Linked DNA regions of Tribolium castaneum. The protein of the gene in region 1 purifies or fractionates together with the protein of each later gene. This does not show direct contact. Links are inferred from orthologs where the notes say so. Each region holds a gene or a part of one and is shown on either strand. Other genes may lie near its edges.

What was found.
Region 2: the proteins of Trmt112 (region 1) and alkylated DNA repair protein alkB homolog 8 purify together in Homo sapiens (co-immunoprecipitation; 3 studies listed by IntAct, with this or other methods). This does not show direct contact. The link is inferred for Tribolium castaneum from reciprocal best matches to the Homo sapiens genes TRMT112 and ALKBH8.

Annotation. Positions count from the first base shown.
Region 1 is NC_087394.1:6,129,757-6,135,949, reverse strand, and holds Trmt112 (multifunctional methyltransferase subunit TRM112-like protein), read left to right. Parts: upstream 1-3,704; 5' UTR 3,705-3,873; coding exon 3,874-3,951; intron 3,952-4,060; coding exon 4,061-4,357; 3' UTR 4,358-4,378; downstream 4,379-6,193. Other genes in the region: uncharacterized protein LOC655985, read right to left, coding at 2,992-3,161, 3,208-3,415; uncharacterized protein LOC656340, read right to left, coding at 5,028-5,247, 5,305-5,406. UniProt on the Homo sapiens protein: Acts as an activator of both rRNA/tRNA and protein methyltransferases. Together with methyltransferase BUD23, methylates the N(7) position of a guanine in 18S rRNA.
Region 2 is NC_087402.1:1,185,453-1,193,304, reverse strand, and holds alkylated DNA repair protein alkB homolog 8, read left to right. Parts: upstream 1-3,049; 5' UTR 3,050-3,194; coding exon 3,195-3,299; intron 3,300-3,347; coding exon 3,348-4,421; intron 4,422-4,994; coding exon 4,995-5,564; 3' UTR 5,565-5,580; downstream 5,581-7,852. Other genes in the region: transcription factor ATOH7, read right to left, coding at 1,466-1,519, 1,568-1,661, 1,885-2,120; Ptp10D (tyrosine-protein phosphatase 10D), read left to right, coding at 6,143-6,193.

The DNA.
Region 1 (6,193 bases):
CAAGCGAAGTGAGTAACATTATCGCTATTACAAATCAGAATAATTACAATTTATCAGGCACTTGAAATCCAACATTTGCCAGTTTTGTACTTTTAGATCTTGTAGCGTATTCATTTAAAGACATGGCATTTGTATGTAATCAATGATGCCAACTTAATTTGGGCATCACAGGCCACAACCACCGGACCACCGCAAATCCAATAAACGAATTTTAATTTTATTTACTTGCTTCTATCAAATTCACCTTTTTCAAGCCACTACAACCAGGGTTGGGAAATTACGTGTAATTAATATTAATTACATTTTATACATTACGTGTAGTTTTTGACGTAATTAATTGTAGTTAATCGTAGATATAGAATAACCTCTTTTTAACAATTCTAACCTCAAATTTTGCGGTACGTTACGCCGGCTCTTACGTCTTCCAAAATGCCGGGAAGAAATTTTCACAGTTTTTGGACGATTGGAAAGTTTGATATATTAAAACTGAATGGAAAAGTTGCAGCACGTTGTCTTGTGTGTGATAAAATATTAAAAAATACTTCGAAACAACGACTGATGTCGCATAGGTATGTATGCGTTTGTATTACATTAAATAAATAAAGAACTAGTACTGAATTATTGTTTATTGCAATGCAGAAATGTCTGCAAGGAAGAAAATACATCCAAAGAAGTGGCCGAAGTGGGTGAAGAGGATGAAATCATATTGGTAGAAATAGAAAGTAAGGCTGACGATAACGATGAAGAAGAGTCAAATGAAGTTTCAGTGGAAGATTCACCAAGTTGTAGCAATGAACAATTTAATGATCGTGTAAGTGCGGCATCAACATTAACATTACCTACATCAGATTTAAACTATGATGAAAACATTTGCAATACTGAGAGTTCAAATTTGACTTCAATATCAATAGCAGCTTCACCTTCACCCCGAATGCTATCCCCAATTCCATCAACTTCAAAAGAAAGCATACACAAAATAATTAACAAGTCAATATCTAAAAAAAGCAACAGCAAGCCAAAGGATACAATTAAAAATTTTTTAGACCATGTTAGCAACAATCAGAAAATCGAGATTAACAAAGCACTTGGCAAATTTATTGTAGGTTGTAACATTCCATTTCATGTAGTAGACTCAATTCATTTCAAAGACTTTTTGAGAGTGCTTAGACCTGCATATCAGCCTCCCTGCCGCAAGACAGTGTCAGGGACCATTCTAAATTCATTATATGATGAAATAAATGAAGACGATCAAAACTCAATAGGTAAATTCTCTGTTATGATGATCGATGGGTGGAAAAATTCAGCAAATAACACAAAACAAGTGGTAACAATTTTGAAGTCAACAAGAAGCGATAAGTGTATTTTTCTGGAAGCATATGATGTAACAACAACACCAGAGACGGGAGAAAAGCTAAGTGAATTGTGTAATCTATCTGTTGAACTAGCGAAGACAAAGTTTAAGACTGAAATTTATGCTGTCGTTAGCGATAATGCAGCAAACATGTTGAAAATGGGAAAATTGACGAGTGATTTAATGCATACTACTTGCAATAGTCACACAGGAAATCTTCTTGCCAAAGACTTAATTTCCAAAGAATTATGTTCCAAAGTAATCACTATCTTAAAAGAATTTAAACATCCTAATCTCGAAAAGGAGCTGCAAAGTCAGGGAGGATCAAAGATAAAATTAGCTGTCGATACTCGGTGGTGTACCTATAGAGACTCATTTTCTTGCTTGATCAAAAATTTAAAATTTATGAAAAAACTTGCGGCAGAAGAAACTATAAAACTTAAACAAGAAATAATTCAGTTACTATTTGACGATGAGTTCATCGATGAAGTTAAAACAACAATTGAAGTATCTAACCCGGTTTGCAAATTAATTAATGAGTGTCAGTCTAGCAGCTGCACTATTGCCGATGCTTGTGAGAAATGGACTCATTTACAACTGCCTGCGGAGTTTGAAGATGTTTTGAAAAGAAGAAGAGACATGGCGCTAAATATTTACTCTTTAACATCAAATTTTCTTCATCCTCTTTATAGAGGAAGGTCTTTGAATCAAACCCAGGTTGATATGGTCCATGACTATTTGGTAGCTACTTTAAGTGCAGAAGGTTTAATGAGTTTTCACCAATTTTGTTCTTCGGAAGATATTTTTGAAACCTTAGAACGTAAAAACATTTGTTGCCCAAAAGTTTTTTGGGGATTGGCCGAGAGAAAGCACCCAGAGTTGGCTAGTGTAGCTTTAAAACTTATCAATATACCAGCCAGCTCAGCTTCCTTGGAGCGTGTGTTTAGTAATTGGGCATTTATTCACAATGATTTGAGAAATCGTTTGGATGCTGATCATTCGAGAAAAATAATGCATTGTTATTACTCCCTGAAGATGCGGGAAAGTAACGAAGTCAGTTAAAAAAGAAACATTGGTTGTGTTTTTTTCCTCGAGATTAATTCTTTTATTTTGTTTTTTGAGAATAGACTTTATTTTGTTTTTTTGAGAATAGACTTTATTTATTTTTTTTTTGAGAATAGATTTTATTTTTTGTTTATTACTAATCTGTTTTGCCAAATAAAGAAAATAATAGAAAATTGTCTTGTTTTACTGTTTACTGACTACAATTTCTGATGGTAAAAGAACTTACTTAATTAATAATGATATGTATTTAGTAATAGAACATTTTTGATTCATTTTTCTCTTCTTGAGAACAAATAAATGCTACCAAATTTTGACGTAAAAAATAGTGTAATTTTTCGGTAATTTATTTGGATTGATGACGTAGAAAATGTGCAAAAACTACGCGTCGTTATACTGTAGAACGACGTTTCAATATCTACGTCACAACCCTGACTACAACCTACCAGGGCCTGCTTTTTTGAACAATTTTTTTAAAGTAATGTGAATCAAGTGGTAATAATTGTCAAATAAACAAAGCCAACTGTTTATTGCCAAAACTCAAGACAAGCGACTTGATGATGATGTTGATGACTCACCCTGTGTACGGAACGCTTTCCTACCTTCCTATTATTATGAATTTGTGCCGCTTTTTGGTGTCTGATAGTACACGTGTGTTTGAGGAGACTCAACCGATGGGCATGGAGCGTTTTCTGACAGTAGGTGCAATAGGCCCGCGTGGGTTCCCCAACGACTCCTCTAAGCCAACCTTCGAAAAATTCGTCAAGTCCTCGACAAAAACCCCCAATTCTCACCTTTAAAATCGGGCATTTGCTCCCATGCTGGGCGATACGTCTGTTTGTAATATTTTCCTCTAACGATATTCGAACTGCTGTTTGATAGACTCAATGTGGCGTAAGAAACCGACGAGTCGTCTAAATGCACCGGAATTTCGGCCAATTCTTGCGAATCTTGAGACTCTTCTTCAACTTCTTGAATTTGCTCACTCTCTTCGCTTTCCATTTCACGCGCCAACAGCAAACGGTTATTTTTCTAAGTTACTAAAAAGCCGAAATATAACTAACTGCAATATGGCGACGAGTTGGGGATTTAGCGTTGGGATGCACCGGAAATACCTCAACCAAGTACCACAAAACCACAACTATTTCTCACCCAACTGGGCAAAAAACGGCCCCCATTGATAAAACTTACCAAAAATTAATCACAAATTTCAAAAAAATAACTACGGCGGTTCAAAAATCTTGATTCAATTGTTTGTACGGTTAAATAGTTGTTAAAGAGTCACCAAGTTCCGTTCGAAGCGAGGCGCGAAATTTGAACCAAAAGCTCATTGTAAATCAATCAGTGATGGGGTAAGCATCCAAGAGCGCAAAAAGTGTCTCACGCGAAAAACTGGCCGATTTAAACAATTAATTGTCCACTGGTGTGAAAAATACACGTAAATACACAAAAATCGGAAAATGAAATTGTTAACCCACAACATGCTAACCTCCAAATGCATGAAAGTCGTGACTGTGGGGTACCCGCTTGGTATTAACGTGAGTACTTTACGTTTTTAATACAATTCAGGCGAAAAACGCCCCTAAAATCGGCTAAATCCGACTTGTGTTGTTTGAGGTTATGTCAATTTTTTTCCCAAAATTTCAGGCTTCGGACGTGCGAGTGTCCGAAGTGGACTTCAACCCGGACTTCGTGGCCAAAATCATCCCAAAAGTGGACTGGAACGTGCTCTACAATGCAGCCCAAAGCATAGGCCAACTGGAGGGGCTCCCGAAGGACGTGGTCGAAAATTACGAAAACGACCACGAGTTCCTGAAAAAAGCCCATCACGCCTTGCTGGAGATCGATATAATCAACGGCGAGCTGATCTGTCCCGAAACCGGACGGAAGTTTCCCATAAATAACGGGATCCCGAATTTGTTGCTGAATGAGGACGAGGTGTAAATAAAACAGTGATAGTAACCATGAAGGCATTTTATTTTGAGACACAGTACAATTGAAAGCGTTTGACATTGTACAGCTACCAAGAAAATACGAAAATTGCACACTTTATCTAACAGCGTGTAAATATGTCTTGTCAATTTTTACAGTACAAAAATATTTGGGGTACATTAGGGGACTTGAAATCGTGATATAGCTGGATATGTGGGGGCACAGGTATTTCAAGTGGGCGGCATAAGTTACAAGCCACAGCCTTCCAAAAAATAGGATGCGTTTCTGGATCACTACATTGCTCCGAGTGTTTATTAAAAAAAACGTGCAAGAGTGCTGTGATTTCGGGAAACTATGGATATCTAGAAATGACGTACAAATAAAACGTTCCCGTCCTCGATAGTTCCGTTAACGTCGCCAGAGAGCGTAGTTAAAATGGTTGTCTGTCCCATATTTTTTTGGGTTAAAAAAATCGTCTCCTAACTTATAGTCCTCCGTATTCATACAACACTCTTGATGCACGTTCTTTTGTGAACACTGTACAAGTAACAAAATCTTTGGTTGTGAAATTGCAGATCAATCTGAATAATTCGATGCCAATATCCTCAAGCTTTGCCGTTTTTTTTTAAACACTGCATGCACACTTATTTACAACGACTTAAATAATAGTACACATGAACTGCTACTTTCCCCGAGACTCGCCCCCAACTGCGACATTTTTCAATTGGGAGAAAATGCTGCCTTTGGCAAGGCCTTGTTTGGGGCCTTTGCGCAGTTCTGGGTTTGAACCACAAGCTTGGTAGGTTCTTTGCGAGAGCAGGGAGCGGTTAGGGCCTCTACTTAGGGCTTGGGGGCCTTTGCGGTGGTTTGAGTTAGGCCCTTGCCAATTGACGTAGTCTTCCCTAAAGGGGTATAACAATCAAGAAAAAAAAATATTTGAATTAGAAGAAAAAACTTACAAAAGGATTTTGCTATTTGGTCCTTTTATTAAATCCGCGTTAGGCCCTTGTGTGTTCATGATGTTTGGTGAGCGACGTTCCGGTGACATATTTTCAACAAGTCTAGAAGTGGTGTTCAGTAATTAAATAATTACGTTCTTTATTAAGAAAAAAAAATAACAAAAAAAACTCAAATTTTATAAAAATGAAAATCTTCAAAAAATAATAAATAACACAATTAAAATTAATTATGTATTTTTTATTTCTTACAAATTCTCGTAATTGAATATGAAATAAATAATAATTTAAAATAAAATAAATAAAAAAAATAATTAAAATGTAAAAGTGAATATGGTCGTTTTCGGACAATTTAAGGAACTTTCAAATCTTATCTAATGATTGATAAATCAACACAGTTCAGCGAAATAATGAATAAGGTGATTTGAGCTATTCCTAAGAGATTTTTCTAATTTTTTACCAAAATGAGACACCTTGTAAATTTGAAGCTCGAAAATTATTCTAGTTCACTGTATTCAGCAAAACAAATGGAAAACTCGCCATTCTTGGTCAAAATAAAGGGATCTGAGATATTTCCAGGCGATTTTACTCGTTCCTAGGCAAAACATCGTTTAAAATCGACGTTTATCAGTAAAATAAATGCGAAAATCAACGTTGAAAATTATTGAAGATCGACGTATTTCAAGGAAACAAGAGCAAATGGCGTAGTTTTCGGACAAAATAAAGTGATTTGACTCGTTTTTAAATAAGAAATCATCTTAAATTCTCTGAAATAAGTGTGAAAATGGTCGTTTTCGGATGGGAAATCTAAGAGTTTTTGCTCGTTTTAAAGCAATAAATCGTTTTAAATAGATTTATTTTATCAAAATTAGTGTGAAATTAATTGTTTCCA
Region 2 (7,852 bases), on another chromosome or scaffold:
CAATAACGTACCACTGAGTTGGTGCGCCAGTTTTTGAGCACCCTGTATAGAAACAAAATTGTTTATATTTCGTTAAATTTTCTCAAATATAAGCTAAAAATCTCCGAATTTTCAAATATATTGATAAAAATCACTGATAAAATTGGTGAATTGGTTCGAAAAAGGTGTCTTTCACTCATTAACTTACTTTTTTTGAGCAATTACGCACGTTTTTGAATTTCAAATCAAAACGTGATCACTAAATTATTATCAAGGCTAAAATAAACGTACATATTTTGACAAATTTCGTAAAAAAATTGCCGAAAAGACAAGAATTGGTTACTTTAACTAGTTTAACTGATTACTTTTATTAACCGAGCTTTTTTTAGACGTTATTCCATTACATTCATTTGAAGCAACATATCTTTTTTTTAACTAAAAAAAAAACAAATAAATGTGTTACATAAATTATTATAAACGTAAATAAAATATAGAATCCAATTTTGAATTCTTAGAACCGATTTATAGAACCGTTATTAGTTTAATCTGCAATTAAGTGCGCGATTAATCACGTGACCAAATTGAAGCAATTTGGTTGGTCCATTCGCGTTGTTAACTTTTAACAACGAAATAAATTTTAACAGAGCTTTGTGAAGAATAAGAATTATCACTTAAAGTTAAAAAATTATTGGAAACAATGTAACAAGTCGTAAATCGAACTAAAATTTAATTTTTTTTGTAGGTGACTTTAAATTGCGTTGAAATTTGTGTTTTAAAATGTTAGAATTCCGTAGTTCACAACAAAAAATTGGAAAAAATTATCATTTTTTTTTTTTTATTAAAATACCTAATTATTTTACATTTACCGTTATTTTACCGTTTTTATTTTAGTTATTTGTAATTTTTAGTCTCTGAAACGCTTTAAAATCACCAATTTTTCGTATTTTTTTTATAAAATTCGGGTTTATTGACCTTATAATTTGGCAAGCCGTTCGCCCCCGCGTTCGCCAGCCTCCCTTTTCGCACTTTTGCGGTCAGGCCGCAAATCGCCGTTAATTATGAATATTGATTAAGGTCGCTTTGTCCGAAGCAACCAAACAGGATGTAAACATTCCTTACGTGTATGTACATTGACTGTTGATAATAATAAATACTCCCAACTGTAATAAGTGATTAAATGCACGTCCTTGCCAGAGTGCGAGTGATGTCCTTTGCTACGTGAAGATATCCAAAAGAGGCATTAACACCGCACCTCTACACATGCTACTACACAAAAACGTGCTTTAATCACCGCATGCCAATTAATATTTGCGAAATAAATCATTTTTCCACACATGGAATAATAATGCTACATCAAGGGATACGCAATTGGAATGATAAAGGAGAATTGGAGGCAAGGTCGATGTGGGTGCCCTCACAATGATGCATTGTGGAAAAAATTACGATTTTATTTGACTAGAGACAATCGACTTTGATAACAACACGCTCAGAAATTGTAATCGAAGAAATCCCCCTCGAGCTTGTGGGAGTAGTAGTGGGACTGCAATTTTTTATTGTAAAATTGTTATAATTACGGTAGATTGCTTACAATCCAGTTCCGGTCTTGTTCCAGCAATTGGACCAAGGCTTGGATGTACTCGATGGCCTGTTGCAGCGTTTTCACCTTACTGACCCTCTTTCCCCTAGAAAAATCACGCTCGAATTTCACTCACTTTTCTCCGCAATTAGACCGAGATAAGTAAAATATTGTAAATGATATGTAAAATAATCTACACGCTAAGTGGCAATGTATTTTTAAATTAGTTGAAAAAAAATTCAAAGAATATGATTTTTTTTAACTACTAAAATTGCAAACACTTTTCTCTGGTTCCTACAGCTTCCAAATATAGTTAGTGTGCAAAAAACCTTGTATTCTCCAAAGGGACGACCTTCCTCAGCCTGGCAAAGGCCGAGTTGACCGCCTGCACCCTGCGCCTTTCCCTGGCATTTCTTCTGGCGACGACTTGCGCCGGCTTGTCCTTATGGGGCACGTGTTTATATCGCTTGTTGTCTTCGTGTGTCCTTTCAGTAACTTGATATTTTCCGTCGATCATCCACTCTGAATACATGCAAGATGATACGGGGGCTGTCGGGGCCGCCATTGTTCATCTTTCGCGTGCTTTCGCGTGTCTTAACCACGATGGTACTAACCCTTGATCCTATCATTATTATACTATCAGTAGCGTTCACCCGCATACACCTGGCCAGGGCGGAGTTCTAGAATCATCACTTTTTTACGTTCAGCTGGTCAGAGCGTCGCCAAAATCAAGCAGATGAGTCGAAGATTGGATACAATGGGCTAAGACCACCTGGATAATTAACTTGATTGGGTGCCGAGGCAGATGATTTTTTTACAGATTGTTGTAAATGGACGGTTTACAAGGGGGTTATTAATTTGAGGCTTGTTGCCACCTTTAGGTCATTGAGGGGGGCTATTATCTTTTATAATTTTTAACAATAGATTCTCAAGCAGGGACGTGTAATAAAAAGCAAATCTACATATTGAGTTACGTTGTTAAAATTCATTTAAATAATTCTGAATTAGTTAAATGTTATGCGGGCAAGTATCGCTCATTGAATAGCAATTAATTCTAATGATTCGATAGGCAGAGTAATAAACTCATCACAAAACCACAAAAAGTGGTAAATGTTTCTAGCTATATTTCTTAAAATAAAAAATAAAAAAAAATAAATCAATATTTCGATAAAGCACCCTTAATTAATAATCTTATGTTGAAATGTACCACTTAGATGAAACTGAAGAGGTTTGCCGTTTGGATTTAAAGACCTCACAAGTAAAAAAAATCTAAAAAAAATTCGTGTCTTTTACACACATCTTATCAACTTATCATTATTGACAATTCCTAATAGGCATACGAAAAACTTAATTTTTTGTTTTGTGGAAGGATATGGCGTTAAAATTTGGAAATTAATTAATTTTAATTTCTGTTTGAAAAAATTAACATAAACGGACATATGTAACCAGGAAAATACTAGTGTTAAGTGTGTTGCATATATTATTAAAGCCCTTATTTTTTTGAAAAAAAAAATACAAAAACACGTTTATAGTTGTATAATGTATTACAATAACAGTTGGAATCACTAATAGTTAAAATACGCGGCCCCTTTTTTTCCATGGTCGTGTCTTGTTCACCCTAACCTCAGTTTTTGTACCAATGGAATCTAACAATTCCCGCAAAAAACTCATTAAAAAACTGCGAAAGCACCAACACACTGTTGGGAAAGAAACCGGAGTCGTCTGTACCGACAGCCCCACGAAAGTAAAACGCAAAATTGTAAAAAATAATTGCATAACCCCATTTTTTCAGAACCTTGTAATTTGCAATACTGGCCAAATTAACGGCTTAACTGAGGAAATAATCGTTGAACACTTCGAAAAATACGGTCACCTCGACCGCGTTTTACTAGTTCCTGGAAAATCGTGCGCTTTTTTGAGCTATAAAGACACCTCAAGTGCTTCAGAAGCATTGGAGGCTGTTAGCGGTAAATTGAATATAGCCCAAGACGGCAAACCGATTTTTTTGAGTTTTGTTGAGGCTTTGCCTGAGATAAGGGATGCGAAAATTTGGGGGCGCCTCCCGCCAGGTTTGAGGATAATTACGAATTTTGTTAGTGAGGAAGAAGAGGCAAGATTGTTGGCTTTGTGCCAGTTTGAAGATGGCGGAAGCATGAAACACAGATTAGTAAAACACTACGGTTATGAGTTTCGTTACGATATTAACAATGTTGATAAAGAGAAGCCGTTAAGTGAGGGAATCCCCCAAGAGTGCGATTTTTTATGGAGACGCCTTCCGTTTGAATTCCGCCCCAATCAGTTAACAATCAATCGGTACAATCCCGGACAGGGGATTCCCTCACACGTGGACACCCACAGCGCGTTCGGGGACCCCATCCTGTCTCTAAGCCTCAGTTCTGACGTTGTGATGGAATTCAAAAAAGACGAAACGATTTGTGTTCTTTTACCCCGAAGGTCGTTACTTGTAATGGCAGGGGAGAGTAGGTACGAATGGACGCATGGGATCGTGCCCCGAACTTTTGATTTTTACAATGATGAAGGGGGCTGTCATTGTTTCAAACGCGGGGTTAGGGTGTCTTTCACCTTCAGAAAAATCAGGAAAGGGGGATGTAACTGCAGTTACAAATTACAGTGCGATTCGCAAACTGCGACCAAAATTATTGAGAGCGATTTGTTAGCCCATAAGTTGGAAAATCAACACGTTCATGATGTTTATGAGGATATTGCCGGGCATTTTAGCGAAACTAGACACACACCGTGGCCAAATGTTCTAAATTTTGTGCAAAAGCTCGAAATTGGGGCTGTTTTGGTGGACGTGGGGTGTGGCAATGGGAAGTATTTTGGACACAACAGACAAATTGTGGAGGTAATTAAAAAAATAATTAATAAAAATAAAAAAAATTTTTTTGATAATTTATTTACTCATGTAAAAGGTTATTATTGATTATAGCCTGTAAAATGGACAACATAATCTATAAAATGTGCATATTCTTTTGAACAAAAAATTTTAAAAAATTACTAACATGTACTTTCGATTCACTTTGATAAAAACCATTGTGGTGCAAATGACTAACCTGTTACCATGACAACTCATGTAAAAGTTAATGCCAAGAGTACGTTATTTAGACCACAATGGTTTTTATGAAAGTGAACCGAATATATGTAGTTTCGTGGAAAAAACTTAAATTATAAAAAATAAAAATTTAGTTTACGAGAAAGTATCATTTTCTTGAATTGGATATCTCTAATTATGTAATTAAAAGTGCGGTTTTCTGATCTAAAATTCTCACTTCACATTAGCGGTTTTACGAAAGAAAATTCTTTGCAAAGGTGAAATTACTGTCACTCATTTACAGAAGAAAGTTTCTTCTAATTGTTGAACTAATAACAAATTATTCTAAAAACCAAATAAAAAAATCTTGTTCATATTATTTTCAAGTTGGGCACCGACCGCAGCTTCAAACTCAACAACCTTTGCAAACACCGTGGTTTTGAAGTCTTCACCGGCAATTGCCTCAACCTCCCTCTAAAAAACTCATCAGCCGATGCTGTTATCAGCATTGCCGTAATCCACCACTTATCAACACCCGAACGCCGGCTAAAAGCCCTCAAAGAAATCGTCCGAATCCTTCGAATTGGCGGCGAAGCTCTTATTTACGTTTGGGCGAAACAACAAATCAAAAACGACGAAAAATCAACCTACATTAAACAAGACCGGAAAAATCGGAAAAAGGAAGTTATCGGAAGTGTTACCAAGGAGGAAGTTAGTGTGGGGGAGGGTGTGACTTTACCAGTGCACACGAACAGGGCAAACTTCACCCACAGTGATGTCTTAGTGCCTTGGAAATTGAAAGGGGAGGAGCAGGAGCGGACGTTTTTGAGGTTTTATCACGTTTTTGAGGAGGGGGAGCTTGAGAGTTTGTGCCAAAGCATCGGGAATGTTTCCATTGTGAAAAGTTATTACGACCAAGGGAATTACTGTGTACAGTTTGTAAAAAACAATAAATAAACTAAAAGTAAAATAACACGTTTTTACCAATCCTATACAAGAATTGGACCAAAAAATGACATTTATCGAGCTAAAAATTCAATTATCTCAGTTTTTTCCGACCAAAAAGTCAATAAATTAGAGAAAATTATTAAAAATATGGATTAGATAAGATAATCGCCGAGCACTAGATAATTTGTATCGCTAATTGCTGGTGGCCTATAGGCCAGGGGCTCGGATTCGTGTAGAGCCCCCACCTGTTGCGTTTGTTGTCACGCTGGCTCGCAGGTGCTGCTCTCTACTCCTTGGCGAGGTCCTCTTTGAAAGTTTCCTCATTTCGTTTCGGGTTATTGTCAAATGCAATAATGGCGTAGAAGAGCGTAACCGTGAGTGCGTGTCGTGTAATGCCATCACGGATGCATCTCAATTGATACAGAGCCCCCATACCGGACATAATTATGCCTCGTATCCCGCGCATCGCCCCCATTTGAATCCACCGTACCTGTCTCTTCTCTACCCTATATTGTTATATTAAATTATTTGTGTGTGTGTATGTGTATGTTTTTTATTTGTTGTTGTTGTTTGTTGTTGTTATTGCCATGACCAGTGTCGTTTTTTTGCTTGGTGCAGCTTTATTCGGGTCAGTCAAGGTACGTGTTATGGTTCTATTGTCGCTTCTTTTATTGTTTGGTGTTTCCGACACATGTTGCGACGTCCTGGTTCCACGGTTCTCGCTTAGCATTGAAAAAACGAGCATATGCGGCTAAGCCGGAGCTGCTCACGTAATATAAAGATTTTTTCCACAAGTAATGAGAAGAAAGTCGGTTTTTCGCGAAGCGTATTTAAATTAATTATTAATTATGCATTATGTAAGTGTGCCAATTGTCTCGGCTTGCCATTTGGCCTTCGAGGCACTTTCCAATTGGTTTTGTTTACCAACAAGAGGAAATTTTCGGTGATATCACCAACCGAAGGAGTTGTCTTCTCGGGGGGACCACCCACTGGTGTTACAGGTGGTGCTAAAGATAACGGACTGTTGGCACCAAGTCAAGAAATTCAGATCAATTTAAACGACATTAGAATTTAGAGCGCAAGCCGTTAAAACACACTATTTGTTGTTAATTAGTTGTAGTGATAAAAGCCGCGTTTGATAATTTTTCGCATGAAGGAAAACCGTCAAGGTTTACAGACTTTGTTACAGTTTTTATTAATATTTTTGCGGAAATAATTGGAACGGAAATAAAGTTTCACTCTTCACAAATAAACACACTATTTGTTTTGAAAATTTTGCCGAGTTAATTTAATTGTTGTGCAGTTAACGAATTAATAAAACTTGGTTTAATATGGCTGTTGTGGGTTGGAGCCGTTAGATAATTTACTTTAACCGAAATGACTAATGTGGGCGAATCATGAGACATCAAAAATTGAAAAGGTCAAAGCTGTTACTAAAAGAATCAAAATTAAAAGCGAAACATATCAGAGGTGTTCCCGAATCTGTATTTTTTTAGTTCATGACTTGAAATGAGTTCTACGAACACGATAGCATTCAATTGTGCAAAATGATGCATAAAAATGGAATTCAAGAGTAGAGAAAATTAACTATAGCCCTGGCGAAGGTGAAATTTCAAGCGCTTTCAGCTCTTGAAACCCATTAGTGATTTATTTACTCTACTGTCGCTTATTTGTGGAGGTTTCATAATGAGGTGATTAGAAATTTACAAGTTGCTTGTTTCAATTCCCAGCTTTTACCCCAGACTATGGATACCTAAAGGCTAGGATACGAAATGACGTACAAATAAAACGTTCCCTCTTCCCTAGTTCTGCTGTTAAAGTAGCCAGAAGGCGCAGAGGGAGCAATGAATTAAAAAAAAGTGGGATATTTATGTAACTATTAGCACAACACAAACAAAAAAATACAGGCAGATAGAGCATTCTCAATAGAAAGACAGAAACATAAAGCAAAAAATTTATCCTAAACTATGTTTAAAAAATTCGTAAACTTTACCAATTTGCACTCTGTTCCATATTTTTCAAAATTCTACGAATTCGGTTACAGATACAAGAGAAATGTTAAGAAGAATGTTGTAGAGAATTAAATTTCCTACAAAAAAGTCAGCGAGACCATATTCCTATCTTCCACCATTTAGGCCCCAAAGTCGTTCAAGCGACGGATTTGCTTCATTTTGGCTTTGGTCAAGTATTGGAAAGTTAATTTATACCTAAACCTTTAAAGATAGAAATATGGTGTCGCGGACTTATTTGTACAAAATTTAATTCTCTACAACTTTGCTTCTTACACTTTTTTTGTA